4 linked regions of the Mus musculus genome follow. The protein of the gene in region 1 purifies or fractionates together with the protein of each later gene. This does not show direct contact. Links are inferred from orthologs where the notes say so. Each region holds a gene or a part of one and is shown in the gene's direction. Other genes may lie near its edges. The genes, in order: Mta2, Chd3, Bcl11a and Dnmt1.

The links.
Region 2: the proteins of Mta2 (region 1) and Chd3 purify together in Homo sapiens (affinity purification with mass spectrometry; 8 studies listed by BioGRID and IntAct, with this or other methods). This does not show direct contact. The link is inferred for Mus musculus from reciprocal best matches to the Homo sapiens genes MTA2 and CHD3.
Region 3: the proteins of Mta2 (region 1) and Bcl11a purify together in Homo sapiens (affinity purification with mass spectrometry; 4 studies listed by BioGRID and IntAct, with this or other methods). This does not show direct contact. The link is inferred for Mus musculus from reciprocal best matches to the Homo sapiens genes MTA2 and BCL11A.
Region 4: the proteins of Mta2 (region 1) and Dnmt1 purify together in Homo sapiens (affinity purification with western blotting; 3 studies listed by BioGRID and IntAct, with this or other methods). This does not show direct contact. The link is inferred for Mus musculus from reciprocal best matches to the Homo sapiens genes MTA2 and DNMT1.

The regions. Positions count from the first base shown.
Region 1 is NC_000085.6:8,939,960-8,945,004, forward strand, and holds the start of Mta2 (metastasis-associated protein MTA2), read left to right. Parts: upstream 1-1,960; 5' UTR 1,961-2,395; coding exon 2,396-2,423; exon of another isoform or gene 2,424-2,431; intron 2,432-2,513; exon of another isoform or gene 2,514-3,073; intron 3,074-3,505; coding exon 3,506-3,573; intron 3,574-4,053; coding exon 4,054-4,147; intron 4,148-5,045. Other genes in the region: Eml3 (echinoderm microtubule-associated protein-like 3), read left to right, coding at 620-718, 944-1,074, 1,171-1,374. UniProt on the Homo sapiens protein: May function as a transcriptional coregulator. Acts as a component of the histone deacetylase NuRD complex which participates in the remodeling of chromatin.
Region 2 is NC_000077.6:69,366,153-69,370,920, reverse strand, and holds the start of Chd3 (chromodomain-helicase-DNA-binding protein 3), read left to right. Parts: upstream 1-1,494; 5' UTR 1,495-1,529; coding exon 1,530-1,785; intron 1,786-1,842; exon of another isoform or gene 1,843-1,931; intron 1,932-3,200; exon of another isoform or gene 3,201-3,362; intron 3,363-4,460; exon of another isoform or gene 4,461-4,768.
Region 3 is NC_000077.6:24,165,056-24,168,935, forward strand, and holds the end of Bcl11a (B-cell lymphoma/leukemia 11A), read left to right. Parts: coding exon 1-111; 3' UTR 112-3,380; downstream 3,381-3,880. UniProt on the Homo sapiens protein: Transcription factor. Associated with the BAF SWI/SNF chromatin remodeling complex. Binds to the 5'-TGACCA-3' sequence motif in regulatory regions of target genes, including a distal promoter of the HBG1 hemoglobin subunit gamma-1 gene.
Region 4 is NC_000075.6:20,918,092-20,922,356, reverse strand, and holds part of Dnmt1 (DNA (cytosine-5)-methyltransferase 1), read left to right. Parts: coding exon 1-63; intron 64-156; coding exon 157-334; intron 335-2,150; coding exon 2,151-2,248; intron 2,249-2,369; coding exon 2,370-2,517; intron 2,518-3,806; coding exon 3,807-3,922; intron 3,923-4,036; coding exon 4,037-4,241; intron 4,242-4,265. UniProt on the Homo sapiens protein: Methylates CpG residues. Preferentially methylates hemimethylated DNA. Associates with DNA replication sites in S phase maintaining the methylation pattern in the newly synthesized strand, that is essential for epigenetic inheritance.

The DNA.
Region 1 (5,045 bases):
TGCCTCAAAATACAAAACAAAGGAAAGGCCAGGCGTGGTGGCGCACACCTTTAATTCCAGCACTGGGGAGGCAGAGGCAGGTGGATTTCTGAGTTCAAGGCCAGCCTGGTCTACAAAGTGAGTTCCAGGACAGCCAGGGCTATACAGAGAAACCCTGTCTCGGAAAACCAAAAACCAAACCAAAACAACCCCCCCCCCCAAAAAAAAAAAACCAAACCAAAACAAACCAAAACAAAGGAAAAAGCCGGCTGCACCAAGAAGACAGTGCTTTAGGATAGCTCCTTAGGGCAAGTGGGGGAGGGGCAGCTGATGAGAAACTGTTAGTGCTTTATCCAGAGGCTCTAGGCATGTCTAAGGCTACATTCTCTGTTTCTGAGACAGGGTTCCCTCTGTCACCTGCGTTTGTAGACCAGGGTGGCCCCCAACTCAGAGATCTGTCTGCCCCACTAGGACTGGGATTAAGGATCTGCACCATCATGCAGGCCTAACTTAAAGCCAAGCCAAGTCAGTGAGAACTTGGGAAGCACACAGTGGGGTTCATAGTGGACGCTATGCCTATGATCAGTTCATGTCGTCAAGTGAGGGAAGAATGACGGCTGAGTAGGCGATTTCCACCTAGGGGATGTGGCTGGAGGCTGCAAACTGCTGAGGAACCGCTATGAGAGCAGAGACCGGGAGTGGGCTACCTATACCTGTGTGCTGGGCTTCCACGTCTATGGTGAGCCAGGATCTGGAATCCGTTAGGAGGGCTGGGGAAACAAGGAAGAACCCATTCTGCCCTCAGAATCCTGGGCGTGTGCCACCTCGGGGTGGGGGTCATAGTGGCAAATCCAGGCTAGGAGGCCCCTTGGGATTGTCTGGAGCGCAGTGGCAACCTGAAGACCTGAAACACTGCAACTCTAGGTTGTGGTAGCAGCCTGACTCAGGCCACCTGTTGTGTTAGGTGTGTGGCCTGATGGCTCTGATGGGACAGACATCAACTCCCTTTGCCGCTCCCACAATGAACGGGTGGTGGCTGTGGCAGACGACTTCTGCAAAGTACACCTCTTTCAGTACCCATGTGCTCGAGCCAAGGTGAGGCTTCAGGGGACCATTGGGCCCAGGTGGGTAGGTTTGGTACCCTGCCATTGCTGCAACCAGTTGTTTTTTTTTTTTTTTTCTCTCATCTAGGCGCCAAGTCGTATGTACTCAGGCCATGGCAGCCATGTGACTAGTGTCCGGTTCACGCACGACGACTCATACCTTGTCTCCTTAGGTGGCAAGGATGCTAGCATCTTTCAGTGGCGAGTGCTGGGGGCAGGGAGCTCTGGGCCCGCTCCTGCCACACCATCTAGAACGCCCTCTCTGTCCCCTGCCTCCTCCCTGGACGTGTGATTGATGCTGGATGGTCTTGTCCCTCTGGTACTGTGGTCTGGCCCCACCCTGGCCAAAACCCCTAGGACCAAGGACAGTCTTTTCCTGTGCTGGCTTTTTCTTTGACTTCATACATTCCCAATTGCGCATTTTTCTGGAGGGGCTAACCACCCCACTGCACACAAAATAACAACAGACTTGCTGGCTGAGCCAGGCAACCCAGCTCCGACACCCTCTGCTCGGTGAGGGGCAATAAAAAGAAAAAAGTAACTGCCTGGTGCTTTTGTGCGGCGGGTCCCCTCAGGGGCCCAGTTGTGTTAGGATGAAAGAAAAAAGTGCAGGGCGGGAAGAGAAAAGGGAGTTCAGACCAAATATGCAAATAACAGGCAAAGCGGCTTGCAAATAACCTCAAGAAGAGTGAGGGCGCGCGCGCGCCTTTCGACGCCACTGCCGGGGAGCTGCTAGGACCCATAGTGCAAAGAGTTAATTCCGGCTCCTCACCGCCCTCAGGGGCGGGGTCGAGCTGCAACGGAAATAACCGAGCGCGAGGCCGCGGCTGAGCGAAAGGAGCCGAGTTCCTTCCGGAAGTGGCCGATCTGCGGGGTCTTGCTCTCCGACCTGAGCCGAGCGCTGGGCCTTGTTCTCCGGATCGGCCGAAGGTGTTCCGGAAGGAGGCGAACCCGGACGCGGGCAGGGCAAACCTTGCCAGCGGTTGGCACCGCACGACGTCTGCTGGGACTCGGTGAGGACGCTAGGAGCTGGAACCTCACTCCGGTCAGGCAGGAATCGAGCTCGTTCCGGAAGAAGCCGAGTAGACCGGAGCTGGCCTCGGTGTCCCGGCGTGAGGCTATAGCAGTGTCGTCGTCGCGCGGGCAGTGATGAGCCGCGGCGGCTGAGCGAGCAGAGGTGCCGGCTGCTCGGGCCCCATCGACACTTCCGCGAAGCGTCAGCCACGCGCTGGGGGCTTCGTCTGGAGCTGAGCTTTGCCCCCGCGAGCCTCCGGGACCTCTTTGTGTGGCCGGAGGCGGCGGCGGGAACGGCCATGGCGGCTAACATGTACCGGGTGGGAGGTGAGTACCCTGAGCGGAAGAGGCTGAGGCCGGGATCAGGGAGACTCGGTGTCCGCAGGCGCGGGGGAGCCACATCTGGGGTCGTGTGGGCCGCGGCACCGACCGGAACCGGAATCAAGAGCCATGGTTCCGCGGCGGCGACGCTATCGGGCGCAGAGTCTACCGCAGAGGCTTACCTGCAGCCGTAACGGTGCTCTTGAGACCTGTGACTGGATCGCCGGGCTGGAAGTGGCCTTGGCTTTGGAAGGGGCCCGAGTGACCCACCGTCCGGCCAGCCGCGCTAGGGGCTAGGCGCGCAGGGGTTTTCTTTTCTGTGGCGGCTTGTGCGTTCGCGAAGGTGGGGCCTGAACAGTTTACTCAATTCTCCTATACAAGGATGCAACTTGAGTGCAAAGTTGTATGGACTCCAGGGAAATTCTTGTTCTTGTTTCTTAAGTCTCACTTTTGAGTGAAGATCTGACTTTAGAACTGGGTGTTGCAGGGGTAGGGGGTAAAAACTCATTTCCTTTTTCTTCTTTTTTCCTTGTTTCTTTTTAGACAAGGTTTATTCTCTGTGTAGTCTTGGCTGTCCTGGGACTCATACTGTAGACCAGGCTGTCCTCGAACTCAGAGATCCGCCTGCCTCTGCCTCCTGACTGCTGGAATTAAAGGTGTGTGACACCACTGCCTGGCAAAGTATTTCCATAATATCTCTTTTCCTTCCTTCCTTTTTTTTTTTTTTTTTTTTCTTTTTTTCTCTCTTCTCTTCCCCCACCCCCCATTTCCTTTTTGAGGCAGGTTTCCCCCTTGTTTCTTTTGAGACAAGGTTTCTCTGTGTAACCCTGGCTGTCCTGGAACTTGAGCTGTAGACTTGGCTGGCTTTGAACCAAGAGCCTGCTTTGGTCTCCCAGACTGCTGGGATTAAACGCATATGCCACCACTGTCCAGCTAATGACTAGTACTTATTTTCTTAACTCTCTCCTCTTGCTCATCTCCACTTCATCTCTATCTAGAATTTTGTCTCATTTTGGTCCACACAGAGCGACTTTTTCATCTGGGTGCCCTCTCCTCTGATCCTCTTGTTTCTTCCCCACCTCCTACAGATTACGTCTATTTTGAGAACTCCTCCAGCAATCCTTACCTGGTTAGACGGATTGAGGAGCTCAATAAGGTGAGTGGAGTTGGTTTTTTTTTTTTTTAATGATACAGGGTCTCTCTATTATGTAACCTTGGCTGCCTGGAACTTGCTGTGTAGACCAGGCTGATCTTAAACTCATGGAGACCCTTTTCATTGGTTCTGAAATTATCTTTGAGTATTAAGTCTTTACTGCTAAGTTTTTCTAGCTCTTCTACTTAGACCCTTAAGGAGATATTGCTTTTGACTCTGCGCACTTCCACTCCCCCACCTCCCCCCAGCACCTCCACTTTCTTTTGTTGTTGTTGTTGTTTTGTTTTGTTTTGAGACAGGGTTTCTCTGTGTAGCCCTGGCTGTCCTGGAACTCATTTTGTAGACCAGGCTGGCCTTGAACTCAGAAATCCGTCTGCCTCTGCCTCCCGAGTACTGGGATTAAAGGCGTGCACCACCACACCCGGCATGCATCTCCACTTTCAAATGGCCAATTTTCCTTCTCGGTTTTTCTCCCTCCTTTAGACTGCAAATGGAAATGTGGAAGCAAAGGTTGTCTGTCTTTTCCGGCGAAGGGATATTTCTAGTAGCCTCAACAGCTTGGCTGACAGTAATGCTCGTGAGTGTCTTCATTCCTTACCCATCTCCCTTCCCCAGGATCTGAGGACTAGACATGTTCCTGCAGGTGTTTCCCCTGGCAGCATGCCCAAGGGAGGGTGTGAGTTTGGGGGGGGGTGGGAAGTGCCTGGTCTGCGGAGGGAGGCCTGTTGTTACACGTTGGGGTTGGAAGCAGGGCGGGCAGACCATGATAAGGAAAGCCAAAATGAGGCTTATGTGTGTGAGTGGAGAGATATTTAGATAGGAAATGAAAAGAGCTTTAGAGAAGCAGGCACTCGGGGACATTTTGGGTACTTTGGGACAGTGGTTAGTGAGTGATGGCCAAGGTGAAGAGGAAGATACTGTTTTGAGAAGTCTGCATAACAGAGAGGCTTATGCTGTAGTCTGGAGGCGATGCCAAAACATTAATAGAGATGATAAGCTAGGAGCAGTTCTCTTGGACTTCCCTGCCTTCACCATTTTTCCTCTCCATTCCAGTTAGTGTCATTTTTACTTATTTTTGCTTTGTCTGCATTTTCTCTATGATCTTTATATTGTAATTTTTTTTCACTTAGTTTTATCTTTTTTCTTTCCTTTTTTTTTTTTTTTTTTCTTTGTCAGGGTTTCTCTGTGTAGCCCTGGCTGTCCTGGAACTCACTCTGTAAATCAGGCTGGCCTTGAACATAGAAATCTACCTGCCTCTGCCTCCCTGGTGCTGGGATTAAAGGCGTGTGCCAGCACTACCCGCATCACTTAGTTTTCTTTTAACTCCCTTTTTCCCTCCTAGATTCTTTTTCAGGCTGCAGTCATGAAAGGGTTAATGAACTGGGCCTACCAAGTTTCCTGGCCCTTTGGGGTTTCCGGCTCCATCTGGCAGGGGCTGACCTTGGCCTTATCCAATCAGAAGGGGTAGGGGTGTG
Region 2 (4,768 bases), on another chromosome or scaffold:
TCCCCGTGCCTCAGTTTCTTCTACTTTATCAGTGTCGAAGGTCATGGAGGAAGAGGCGTTCGATGACACAGGAGAAAAGAATTTCACAATCTTCAGATCCGACCCTCTCCTCTTTCTCCTAAAAATCTGACCTAGTCACCACCAAATTAATTTCTCAAGTCAGACGATTTTACAAGCAAGCCACTGGAGGAGAGGAAGGGAAAGAGTAGAGATAAAATTGACAACATTCACAGAACACTGAGGGCTGGGCAAAGGAGAGAATCAAACATGGACTCCTTGGAAAAAAAACTCAATCATCTATTCATATCTCTCCCCCCAAAGTCACTAGGATTTCTGTCACTTTTTTTTTAAGGAGAAAAAAAAAAAAAGCCAGTACCATTTCTCATTTAAAAGCTACGTACACAATTAAATGCATTTTGACTTCAATGAGGTATGTAGAGAGTTATATATAAACATATATTTCATCTTTTTCCTTTTCAATGCCTGAAGGAAAAAAAAAAAAAACCTTCACATCAAACCACTCCCTTCTGAAGTATTCAGAAAAAAAAAAAAAAAGCTTTTCTTTAGAGAAGGGAGGTGGGGGGAGGAAGAAGACTAGTAAAGAAAAGAAAAATTCAATCTAGTTGGACTAGTATCTAACTAGTTAACCTTTAACAATTTATGCTGATGTCAGACTGAGCATGAGTACTGATTAATACCCCCCCAAATATTTTTATAAGGGGGGGAGTTAAGTCACAGCAGCCATTTTTGTTTTATGCAGAAATCCTTCATGCCCCCCAACACACACACACACACACACACACACACACACTCTCTCTCTCTCTCTCTCTCTCTCTCTCTCTCAATACACAAGGAAAATGTATTAATCTGTGCACTAATCAGTTATGAAAAAAGGGAGAAATTTGTGGGTTTCTGAGTAGAAGCTTGGAGATTGGATGTAACAGGGAGAATGGGGGTGTATGAAAAATGAAATATTAAGCCAGCCATTTTGTTTTAAAAGGGGATTTTACCCCCCTCTCTCTTTCTTTATAGAGGGGGGTGGCAGTGCTGGAGGGGGGGTTGTTTTAAAAATAATTTCAAGGCGGCCATCTTAGTGCCTCAGCTCTGAGAAATATTTCTGAGCGCCCCCCTCAGAATTTAAATATATTTAAAGCAACCGAGGGGGGTAGAGAGAAGTCGAAAACTTTTATATACATATATATAATTTTTTTTTTTTAAACGATCTCCCTTTCTTGTTCTCTTGGGAGGAAAGACAGAAGGGGGAAAAAGTCCTTAAATTTTTCCAAGAACATTTTTGGGGGTGGTGCGGCCCCCCTCCTCAGACGCCGGCCCCGGGGGTGGGTGTTCTGGAGGGGGGTGGCCCGGGGGTTTGGGGGGCTGGGGGAGGCGGTGAGGAGGAGGAGGAGGAGGACGCCGCCGCCGAGGAGGAGGAGGAGGAGGAGGAGGAGGAGGAGGAGGTGGTGGTGGTAGCGGTGGGGGAGGCGGGCGGGCGGTGGGTGGGGGGGTGGTGGGGGGGCCAGAGCCACAGGATGGCTTCCCCTCTGAGGGACGAGGAGGAGGAGGAGGAGGAGATGGTGGTGTCGGAGGAGGAAGAAGAGGAGGAAGAAGAGGGCGACGAGGAGGAGGAGGAGGTGGAGGCGGCCGACGAGGACGATGAGGAGGAGGACGAAGAGGGAGTACTCGGGCGCGGGCCGGGCCACGACCGGAGCCGCGACCGCCACAGCCCCCCCAGCTGCCACCTCTTCCCGCCGCCGCCGCCGCCGCTGCCGCCGCCCCCGCCACCAGGTAAGCGTCCGTCCGACTCCCCGGGGCCCGAGCGGAGCCGCGGGGCCCGGCACCTACGGTTCGGCCGAGCCGAGGAGAGTCCCGGGCGCCTGGCGGGTCTAGACGGGCCCGGCAGTCCGGGCGGCGGCGGCCTTGGGGCCAGGCCTCCTCCCCTCCCCCGCCGCACCCCTCCTCCGCCGCTACCGCGGCCGCCGCCACCGCCGCCGCCGCCGCCGCCGCCGCGCCCGGGCTGGAGAGCGCAGGGAGCGAGCTGCGCGCGCGGACCGGGCCACTTGGTCGCGGCTTTCGGGGGAGGAGATTTATTTTTTTCACCCTCGGCGGGGAGGGGGTAGGCAGGAAACGGCCGTAGCGAAGCCAGGGCCCCCCTCCCAGGCCGAGCGAGGGACCGCGGAGACCCCGGCGACCGGACGGCGGCGTGGGGGGAGGGGCGCGTGGGGGAGGGGCGGCCGCGTGAGCGCCCCTTGGGCCGGGCCCCGGTGGGGTCGGACTGAAGCCGAGTGGGTTCGGGGTGTGGAGCTGACTGCCACCCGACGCCCTCCGCTGGGGACTTGGGCAAGCAGAGGTGGGACAGTGGCCCGCGGACCAGCCCCTCCACCTGCAGGGACTTCGGTGCCCGCCAACTTAGGGGTGTGCGGTGGCACGCGTGGGAGGGGGCGTGCGAATGTTTGTAGCGGCTGATGACCAGAGGCAGGTGGTGGCCACACTCCACGCAGACCACTTCCTGGAGTAAGACTTGGACATACCGTCCACTCCCCCCTAGCTGGCCGCCGAGGTCTCGGGTCACCTCAGATTTGAAGAGAGACAGGAGAATGTCTGGGGAGCCAGATGCCCCCGGCCCCACCCTCGTCATCTCTGCCCCGGGCTCTTTTGTGTCAAGTGCAGCCCCCATCCCCCCCTCGTGACCCCGTCAGTCTGGGGTGGCCGAACTGCCCAGCTGTGACTCTCACGTGGCTGCCATTCACTGTCACTCTCTTGATGAAACCACCCACACACCCTGACCACGTTGGGGGGCGTGAACTGCCCACCCAGCTGCTCTGTCCTGACCATCATCACTCAGCACCCTTCTCCGAGATGACAAGTCACCTGCCACTGGCGTAGGACGTCCAGCTGTGCTTGGGACAGACCCTTCTCTGGATCAGTGGCGCAACTCTCAGACCACCCTCCAAGTGGAGAGTGATTTCTAGCTTCTTTAGGATAGGTGTCGCCAACCTCTGATTGGGGACATCCACACCCCCAAGTCTCTGGCGGCAGAGCAGCACACACACACCAAACTTTAAAACGTTATTTGTAAAACTGTCTTACTGACCACTGTGACTTTTTGTCGCACGTGTTGAGACAGCTTTTCCGGGGGTGGGGGGTGTTAAAAATAATGTGTTTAATGCGTATTGGGTAAAGCCTCACCCCTAACCTCGTCAGGTTTACCTGTAAAAGAGGAAAAGTTTAGAAAAAAGTTATTCCAGCGAGCCCTCAGGATTCCCTTGGAGTGGGGGAAGAATTAAAGATCCTGAGGAGAGAGAGGGCTGCCCGCAGGGCTGCCTGCGGCAAGGTGTGAAAAAGAGGGGAGAGGGGCTTGTCAGGTGAGTTAGGGCGTCGGTAACTCTCGCCTAACTGTTCTGAACTCCGGATCTGGTTTTGATCCCCGGCACTGGATGCCTGTAAGAGAGGAGAATGAACGAGCCTAAGGTCGAGATGGGTCTTTGTGTGGCGTCCTCCCTCCCCCCTTGCTTTTGAATCCTTGAGAAGCGTCAAAAGCTTTTGAATTTTTATGTTTGAAATGAAATCTCACCTCCTCTGTCTCCCTGGGCAATTTCATCCCCCTTCCAGCCCTCCAAGTCAAAATGACCCAGATACACCCCCTCAGATGACTTTCTGAGGTAAAACTTTCGGAAAATATTTTTAGCGTACTCATTATCCGTCTACCTCAGTGTGGGGAAAAATAAGTCTCCTCTTAAGGAGCTCTGTTCAGGCTGCCCGCCCTCGTCTCTTTCTGGAATATGAATTTGTACTCGTGAGAGCCTTCCATTGTTTTTCAGTGCGACTGCTTTGATTCTCACCATTTTTGTTTTACATTCTTACCCAAGACCAATTTTTATCCCTTCCCCCATCGCGCCAGTCTCCTTACATTGTTGAACGTTTAAAATAATAGCATTCGTGTTGGTGGGGGAAGGGAGCAGGAAGCTAAAGAAAAAAACCTCATTTCTTCTCCCTCCCCCTTCTGGCAAGTCTAGAGAAATAATATAACATAATATATAGATGTGATTCCTTGGGGGGTGGGGATGGGGGTGGGGAAATGATTGTGGGTGGTGCGGAAAATTCTGGTAGTTTCTTTGCAAAAGGTCTGAAAATACAAACCCACCTCCTGCATTCAGTACGCATGTGCAGTAGACCTATTATGGAGGTTCGTTGTGGGGGAGGGAGGGGAATTTGAGAAAAAAATAAATATAAGTGTGAGAGATTGATGGCGAGATTAGGAGAGAGGGGCGGGAGCAAGGCTCTTGCCCAGGCTCCTCCCACAGCCCTACTGCCAGACTCCGCCCTCGCCCTCCCCACCTTCCCGAGATCTGAGCCGGGAAGTGGGAGAGTCTGGGCTCGCGGCCAGCTTTGAGAGGCTGCTGAGACAGAGGTTGGGGCTTAGATTTGCTTTATTACCCTTCCTTGCCTCTCCTCGCCATTCTTTCCCTCTGCTGGCCACCGACGTCGGCCTAAAACTGAGAACCTCCTGCCGGGCTGGGTGGGAAGTAGAGTTCACGGGCTTCCTCGCCCCACACACCCAGGGTGACCCAGGCGGCCCACTTCCCTGATCCTTAGCCAGTTGGCATAGCCTGGCCTGCCCTTGCCACTTGCCCCGCGGTCGTCGTTTCCATGTTCGTGTTAACCCAAGTCCCTAGAGTTAAGGGGAGCCAGCTGCTGGGCCTGACGTCTGACTTCCTATTACAGCCCTGGATCGGTTTTCACACACTGCCTCTGGGCAGGCAGCCCCCTT
Region 3 (3,880 bases), on another chromosome or scaffold:
TACAAATGTGAAATTTGTAAGATGCCTTTTAGCGTGTACAGTACCCTGGAGAAACACATGAAAAAATGGCACAGTGATCGAGTGTTGAATAATGATATAAAAACTGAATAGAGGTATATTAATACCCTCCCTCACTCCCACTTGATGCCCCCCTTCCACCCCTTCCCCATTGTCCTTCCAGCCCTACTCCCTGTAGGATTTTTCTAGTCCCATGTGATCAAACAAACAAACAAACAAACAACAGAGGTAATGGAAGCTAAGAATATGAATGAGTGCTTGTCACCAGCACACCTGGTTTTTTGTTTTGTTTTTCCTTTTTTTTTTCTTTTTCTTCTTCTTTTTTTTAAATTTTAAATTCTTTATGTTCTCACCGTTTGAATGCATGTTTGGGGCAATACTATTGCATTTTACGCAAACTTTGAGCCTTTCTCTTGTGCAATAATTTACATGTTGTGTATGTTTTTCCCCCCTTAACTTAGACAGCATGTATGGTATGTTACGGCTATTTTAAATTGTCCCTAATTCATTATGAGCAAACATGTTGTTGCTGTTTCCAGTTCCATTCTGAGAGTGTGAGGGAGGGAGGGTAGAAAACAACGCATGCTGCATACATAATTCTGTAATACAGATCATGTGCAGCTTTATTTTATAACACGAGGAGGGAAACGGTGTCTGGGTTGACTAACCCTCTGCAGACAGAGCAGATAGCAGTGAAAAAAAGGTGCTAAATGTCTGTCTCTAAAGGGTTACATGTATTAATTGGAGAGGGAAAAAAGGCCTTGAATTGACAAATTAACAGAAGAACAAGTTTATTCTATCATTTGGCTTTTAAAATGAGTGCCTTGGATCTATTCAAACCATGTTGATGGTTTTTTTTCTGCTTGTTATAAACTTGTAGTTTAATCTAGCATTGGGTGAGGTAATAAACTTTAGGACCTAGCATGTAATTCTGTGTTGTATTTCTCACAACAATGGCTACCTAAAAATATGACCCATTATGTCCTAGTTAATCATTGATTTTTGCCTTTAACTTTGTGAACAAAACTGATTATACCAGTATAAAAGCTACTTTGCTCCTTGTGAGAGCATAAAAGAAATGGGCTGTTTCGCCTAAAGTTTTATTTTATTTTATTTTTAAATGGTTATCAAATTGAATGTGAAATGTGCAAAGGCCCTGGAATGTGATGAAATACATTAGCAAGAAGTTCATCTTGTGACAATACTTGTTTAAAATGATGCATTTAATGAAATTCTGGCGCCAAAAGAAGTAGATCCGGCTCTAGTTGGTTGTTGAGTGGACAATAAAATGATAAAGCCCTTTAGAGGACATTTGAAAGAACAGGCTGATATGATGAGAGAGAGAGAGAGAGACAGAAAACGGTAGTGATTGGTTAGCACGATGTAGTACTGTTTGCCATTTGAAACTAGAACAGGTGTATAAGGGGCCAGCGATACAATGATGATTAACTCTGAAGCTCTAAGACTTGCATTTAATGTGACAGTCTTCAAAAAGAAGAGGAAGACCTTTAAGAGCAGCAGTATCTATGTCTGTGCTCCCTGGAAGTTGTACTTCATTTCTTTTCCATACACTGTGTGCTATTTGTGTTAACATTGAAGAGGATTTGTTTTTATTTTGTTTTATTCTTTCTTTCTTTCTTTTTTCTTCCTTCTTTGTTTTAAGCTAGCATCTGCCCCAGTTGGTGTTCAAATAGCACTTGACTCTGCCTATGATACCTGTATCTTTTCTCTAATCAGAGATACAGAGGTTGAGTATAAAATAAACCTGCTCAGATAGGACAATTAAGTGCACTGTACAGTTTTCCCAGTTTACAGGTCTTTATTAAGGGAAACGTTGCAAGAATGCTGAAAACAATTGAACACAATCTCAATGATGAGCATTAAAAAATAATAAAAAAAAACAAGCAAACCTAAAAAAAACTAAGACAGACGTTGCCAGCCATTGACTTGACTATTGAGCTTCCTCACTTGGATGCAACATTGCAAGCGCTGTGGATGGAAACAACACACTTAACATAGAAACGAATGACTCCTTTGCTTCTACAGTGCAAGGATTTTTGTACAAAACTTTTTTAAGTATAAATGTTAAGAAAAGAATTTTTAAAAAGACACTTCATTATGTTTAGGGGGGAACAGCATTTTAGGGTTCCATTGTCTTGGTGGTGTTACAAGACCTGTTATCCATTTAAAAATGGTAGTGGAAATTCTATGCCTTGGATCACACACCGCTCTTCAGGTTGTAAAAAAAAATGAAAACAAAACAAAACAAAAAAAAAACATACATGGGGAAAGGTTTAAGATTATATAGTACTTAAAAATAGGAAAACGCACACTCATGTTGATTCCTATGCTAAAACACAGTTATGGTCTTCTTTCTGTATTTCTAGAATGGTATTTGAATTAAATGTTCATCTAGTGTTAGGCACTATAGTATTTATATTGAAGCTTGTATTTTTAACTGTTGCTTGTTCACTCAAAAGGTATCAATGTACCTTTTTGTTAGTAGAAAAAAAAAGACAGGCTGCCACAGTATATTTTTTTAATTTGGCAGGATAATATAGTGCAAATTATTTGTATGCTGAGAGAGAGAGAGAGAGAGAGAGAGAGAGAGAGAGAGGTGTGACATTGTACAGAGAAGCCATATAATGGCGGTTTGGGGAGCCTGCTAGAATGTCACATGGATGGCTGTCATAGGGGTTGTACATATCCTTTTCCCCCTTTCCTGCTGCCATGCTGTACGCAGCACTGCAAGCTAATAGCGTTGGTTTGTTATGTAGTGTGCTTTGGCCCCTCCTCCCCGCTCACCCGACATTCCAGCATCTTACCTTCATATGCAGTAAAAGAAAGAAAGAAAAAAAAAAAGGAAAAAAAAAACAACAACAATGTTTTGCAGTTTTTTTCATTGCCAAAAACTAAATGGTGCTTTATATTTAGATTGGAGAGAATTTCTTATGCAAAGCATATTAAAGAGAAAGCCCGCTTTAGTCAATACTTTTTTGTAAATGGCAATGCAGAATATTTTGTTATTGGCCTTTTCTATTCCTGTAATGAAAGCTGTTTGTCGTAACTTGAAATTTTATCTTTTACTATGGGAGTCACTATTTATTATTGCTTATATGCCCTGTTCAAAACAGAGGCACTTAATTTGATCTTTTATTTTTCTCTGTTTTTATTATTATTTTTTTTAATTTGGATGACCAAAGGTCATTGCAACCTGGCTTTTTACTGTATTTGTTTCTGGTCTTTGTTAAGTTCTATTGGAAAAACCACTGTCTGTGTTTTTTTGGCAGTTGTCTGCATTAACCTGTTCATACACCCATTTTGTCCCTTTATTGAAAAAAAATAAAAAAATTAAAGTACTATGTCAGCTTCTTGTGTCCTCATTTGACACACTCTGTAAATTACTTTCAACAAAATAACAGGTTTTGAGAGAAGGCCAGTTAGTCTTTTTCAGGGTCATTTCTATGGGCATTTTGATGTGTGTATTATACCCTAAAGGAGCATAATATACTTACTGTTATTAAAATAGACATACCTCAAGCCATGGAAGTACAGGTTTAGATCAGTTGGAAGGTAATTCTTGTTCACTGTTCAAAACTTCTGCTCTGTCCTTAGTGGGATCCACTAGGTACCTGTGAGCCCAGGAGCCGCCCCTCAGTTGTCTCCTTTGGATTTTCTGCTGTGCCTGTTGTGTCTAAAAGTCCTTTCTGTTCTTCCATTATTTCCCTATTTTAGAGTGTAATGTCAAAAAAGGGGGATCCTTAAACGAATAGCTCCCTATTCTCCATAATGACCTTTCCTCATAATAAAAATGACCTTTCCCCTCAACCCTAAACATCCAGAAACAAAGGCAGCAAGTATA
Region 4 (4,265 bases), on another chromosome or scaffold:
CATCTTCTTGTCTCCCTGTATGAGAGCCCTGATCCATTTGGCTGGTGTCTCCCTGGGACAGAGGTAAGGATGTAGCAAGAATCAGATTGGAGGCTTGAGACCAGAGGAGGCAATCTCCTGTGTTTGGTTCTCTGAAACGGTGGCCATCTCCCTCAGGCGAGCAACAAGGCGCGTCATGGGTGCTACCAAGGAGAAGGACAAAGCACCCACGAAAGCCACCACCACCAAGCTGGTCTATCAGATCTTTGACACTTTCTTCTCAGAGCAGATTGAGAAGTATGATAAGGAGGACAAGGAGAATGCCATGAAGCGCCGCCGCTGTGGTGTCTGTGAGGTGAGCCGGCTATCCTTGGCACCCCTTCCTTAGATGTGAAGGAGAGCACTCCATGCTTTGGGGTAGCCTCCTGACCCTCTCTGTCCATCTGGGGTTGAAGTCGGAGTGTCCAAGACCTTTGGTCTTGCTGATGCTAGGCTACAGATCCTGGGTTTCCTGAGAGATGCTAGCTCCGCCTCTATTTCCTGTGGGTGTTGAGAGAGCAGACGCTGACCCCAGGAGCCAAAGCTGTCCCCTCCACCCCCACCCCCGGGCACATTTCCTGGGATTCTATCTAGAACTGAAAGTGCACATTTCTCTCAGTTTAGACTTATGGCTGCAGAAGCCTCTTGCTTTGACCTCCAAGAGCTGGCCTTACAGACCTGTGCCACCGTGCCTGGCTCTTGTGAATTATAAATCCTTTTCATATAGATAGCCTTGGAATCAACCTACATTACACTAAACAAGCAAACACAAACTTCAAATAATGTGGTAAAGCTACACATGGAGGCGCCGGCCTGTGATCCTGGCCCAGGCTGAGAAGTGGAGGCAGGAGGATCGGGACTGCAGGGTCATGCTCAGTTTATCGTGAGTTTGAGGTCAGCCTGGGCTGAATTTATCCTAAACCATAGCCTACACGTGCATGTGTGTTCTGAGGCGCTTCTGTGTCCAGGGCTGACTGAAACTCCTCGTGTGCACTGGGTATCCAGGTATGCACTGCCGTGGCCAGACCTGTGACGTCAGTGTGTCCTGCCTGACAGCAGCTTGCAGGGCTCGCCTTGGCCCAGGCTGTACAGGGACTTGGGTATCCTGTGGCTTTGAATGGGTGAGGAGACTCCTGCGTGTGCTGTTCTGAGCATCCAGGGGGCAGCTGGGGGTTTATTTTCTTCAGAGAAAGTCACCTTTTGCAATTTAGTGTTTTGACTTTCCCTGGGTAGAGCCTGGCTGGTTTCCACACACCACAGTAGCATGTCCTCTACTCTCTTGGCAGCCCTCGTGAGGATGCCCTGTCCTCGCTGTGCCTCGACTTTGCTCACTGTCCTTGTATCTGGTGTTTGTTTTAAAGGTGCCCCTTTTTTGGCAGTGGTGTGGGAGTGTGGTTGCAGTGGTGGTGGGTTTTTTTAGGTGAAGTCGGGTACTTGATGGTCCTGTTTGGTTACCTTATTCTCATGGTTCGTTTTTGTTAGGGGCTGTCCCCACTGACTGGTGGGGACTCTGGTAGCTCTGTGACACTCAACAGAGCTGCTTGTGAGCTTCTAAGGTGCCGTCAGCACCCTGTTCACCTCCGGATTCTCAGATGCACACGCCCCTTCTGCACGTGTCCTCTGTGAGCAGCCGGATGGCCTGGTACCTAATACAGGTTAAGGCCATGTGTGGCTGCCACACTATTGCTCAGGGGAAGGGTCAACACACTCTGTTCAGCACAAGGCCAGTATGTTTTCAGAGTTTCATTAGAGAGCTGTCTGCATGGGCCACAGTGCATATGAAGGTCAGGAGGAACTCTGTAGAGTTGGGTTTCTGCCTTCCTGTGGGCCTTGGGTATTGAACTTGGGTTATAAGGCTTGGCACCAAGTGCCTTTACCCACTGGCCCAACATGCAGATTTTTGAAAGTTATAATTAAAAATTCCTGGGCCTGGGTGTGGTGGCACACACCTCTAATCCCAGCATTCAGCTGCAGAGGCAGGAGTATCTGAGTTCAAGGCCAGCCTGGTCTACATAGTTGCATGACAGCCAGAGTTTTGTAGAGAGAGACCGTCTCCAAAACAAAAACAAAAAGGCCAAACAAAGTTTCTAGTTGAGAATTGCTGATTGATCGACTTGTTTGCTATTTTTCAGGTCTGTCAGCAGCCTGAGTGTGGGAAGTGCAAGGCGTGCAAAGATATGGTGAAGTTTGGTGGCACTGGACGGAGTAAGCAGGCTTGCCTCAAGAGGAGGTAGGCTGTGCTGTATTCTACTCGGATAACAGAGCAGCCAGGGTGCCAGGGCGTGCTGCAGGGACGGGGTGTGGAGCTGACATGCGCTTTGCTGGGGTTGACTGCAGTGTGTGTTCTGCAGGTGTCCTAACTTGGCGGTGAAGGAGGCAGACGACGATGAAGAGGCTGATGATGATGTGTCAGAGATGCCATCACCCAAAAAGCTGCATCAGGGGAAGAAGAAGAAGCAGAACAAGGACCGCATCTCCTGGCTTGGGCAGCCTATGAAGGTGAGGCCCCTTCCTCTTCATGCTTCTTCTCTTCGCGCCTCTGAGCCCAGCCGTGCAGCCAGGAACCTGCTGGCAGCCTCCCGAGAGAGGAGGACTGTCGTCCAGCTGCTGTCCCCTTTCCCTCCCTCGTTCCTGATACTGGGAGTGGAATGCAAGGCCCCAGACTGCTGGACTAGAGCTCTGCACCTGAGCTGTGCCTCACTCCTCATGGTGGACCCTGAGCCGAGGCTGCAGCACAGGTAGCCCATCCGCTTGTGCCCTTTGTGGTGCTCCATTGCCACCTCTCAGGCGCTAAGCCGCGTGCTGCCCTGTCAGACTCTGTTTTGTTGCTATAAAAACCAAGCCTGATGGTGGTGGCACACAGCCTTTAATCTCAGCACGCGGGAGGCAGAGGCAGGCATGGCAGGCATAGCTTGAGTTCTGGGCTACCCTGGTTTACACAGCATATTCCAAGACAGCAGTTCCAAGAATGGGGAAAGGTCAGAAGCCTTGTGGGTTTGGTTTGGTTTGGAGATGGGATCTTACTGTATAAGTTAGAACTTCTATTTTCATTAGTTTTTTTAGATTGATTTATCACATGTAGATGGCTGGGGTTAGAAGAAGATATGGAATCATCTAGACCTGCAGTTAAGGTTGGTTCTGAGCCACTGTGGGTGCCGGGACCCGAATCCAGGTTCCCTGTAAGAGCAGTGAGTGCTCTTTGTGGAGTTGCTTTCTTTTTAGCCTTTCCAAAGTGAGGATTACAGGCATGCGCTACCAATCTCAGCGGCTCATGCCTTTTGAGTCAAGGTTTTTTACTGTGTAGCTCTGGCTGGCCTGGAACTCAATGCAGCCTGCCTCTGCCTCCAGAGTGCTGGAATTAAAGATGTGTGCCATGACACCTGGCTTTTTTTCTTAATTTGATTACATTTACTCATGGATGCCGCAGCACGGTGTGTCAGGACAGGTCGTGTAAGTCGCCAATCTCCATCTCCCATGTTGGTCCCAGAGATCAACCTTTGGTCATCTGCCTTGGAAGCGAGCTTCTTTGTTTATCCACTGAGCCATCCCATCCTCCATGACTTAGTAAATCAAAAGTTGTGGTTGGTTGGTTTGTCTGTTTGTTTATTAAGGGTTGCTAGGGATGGAGCCCAGAGCCTGGTATCTCTTAAGTACACTTTGCACTGCTGACCCACACACCCTTAGTCCCAAGTAATTTTCATAGGAAGTCAGGGAGAGCCGCCACCCAGGTTAAATCTAGTGAGAGCCTTGGATGTGACTATCACCTGGGCTCCATCGCTTGCTTTCAGATTGAAGAGAATAGAACTTACTATCAGAAGGTGAGCATCGATGAGGAGATGCTAGAGGTGGGCGACTGCGTCTCGGTCATTCCAGATGATTCCTCCAAACCACTCTATCTAGCCAGGTATGCATGCCTGCCTTTTCTCTTGAACACCTCAAGTCCAACTTTGTCAGAACAGACCCCAGGTTCTGCTGGTTACATGAGACATTTCTTCCCCGTCCTGTCTTATGACTGCAGGGTCACAGCTCTGTGGGAAGACAAAAATGGTCAGATGATGTTCCATGCGCACTGGTTCTGCGCTGGGACAGACACAGTCCTGGGAGCCACCTCCGACCCCCTGGAACTGTTCCTGGTGGGCGAGTGCGAAAACATGCAGCTTTCCTACATCCACAGCAAGGTCAAGGTCATCTACAAAGCCCCTTCTGAAAACTGGGCCATGGAGGTGAGTTCCTCCTTTCGTCCCTAT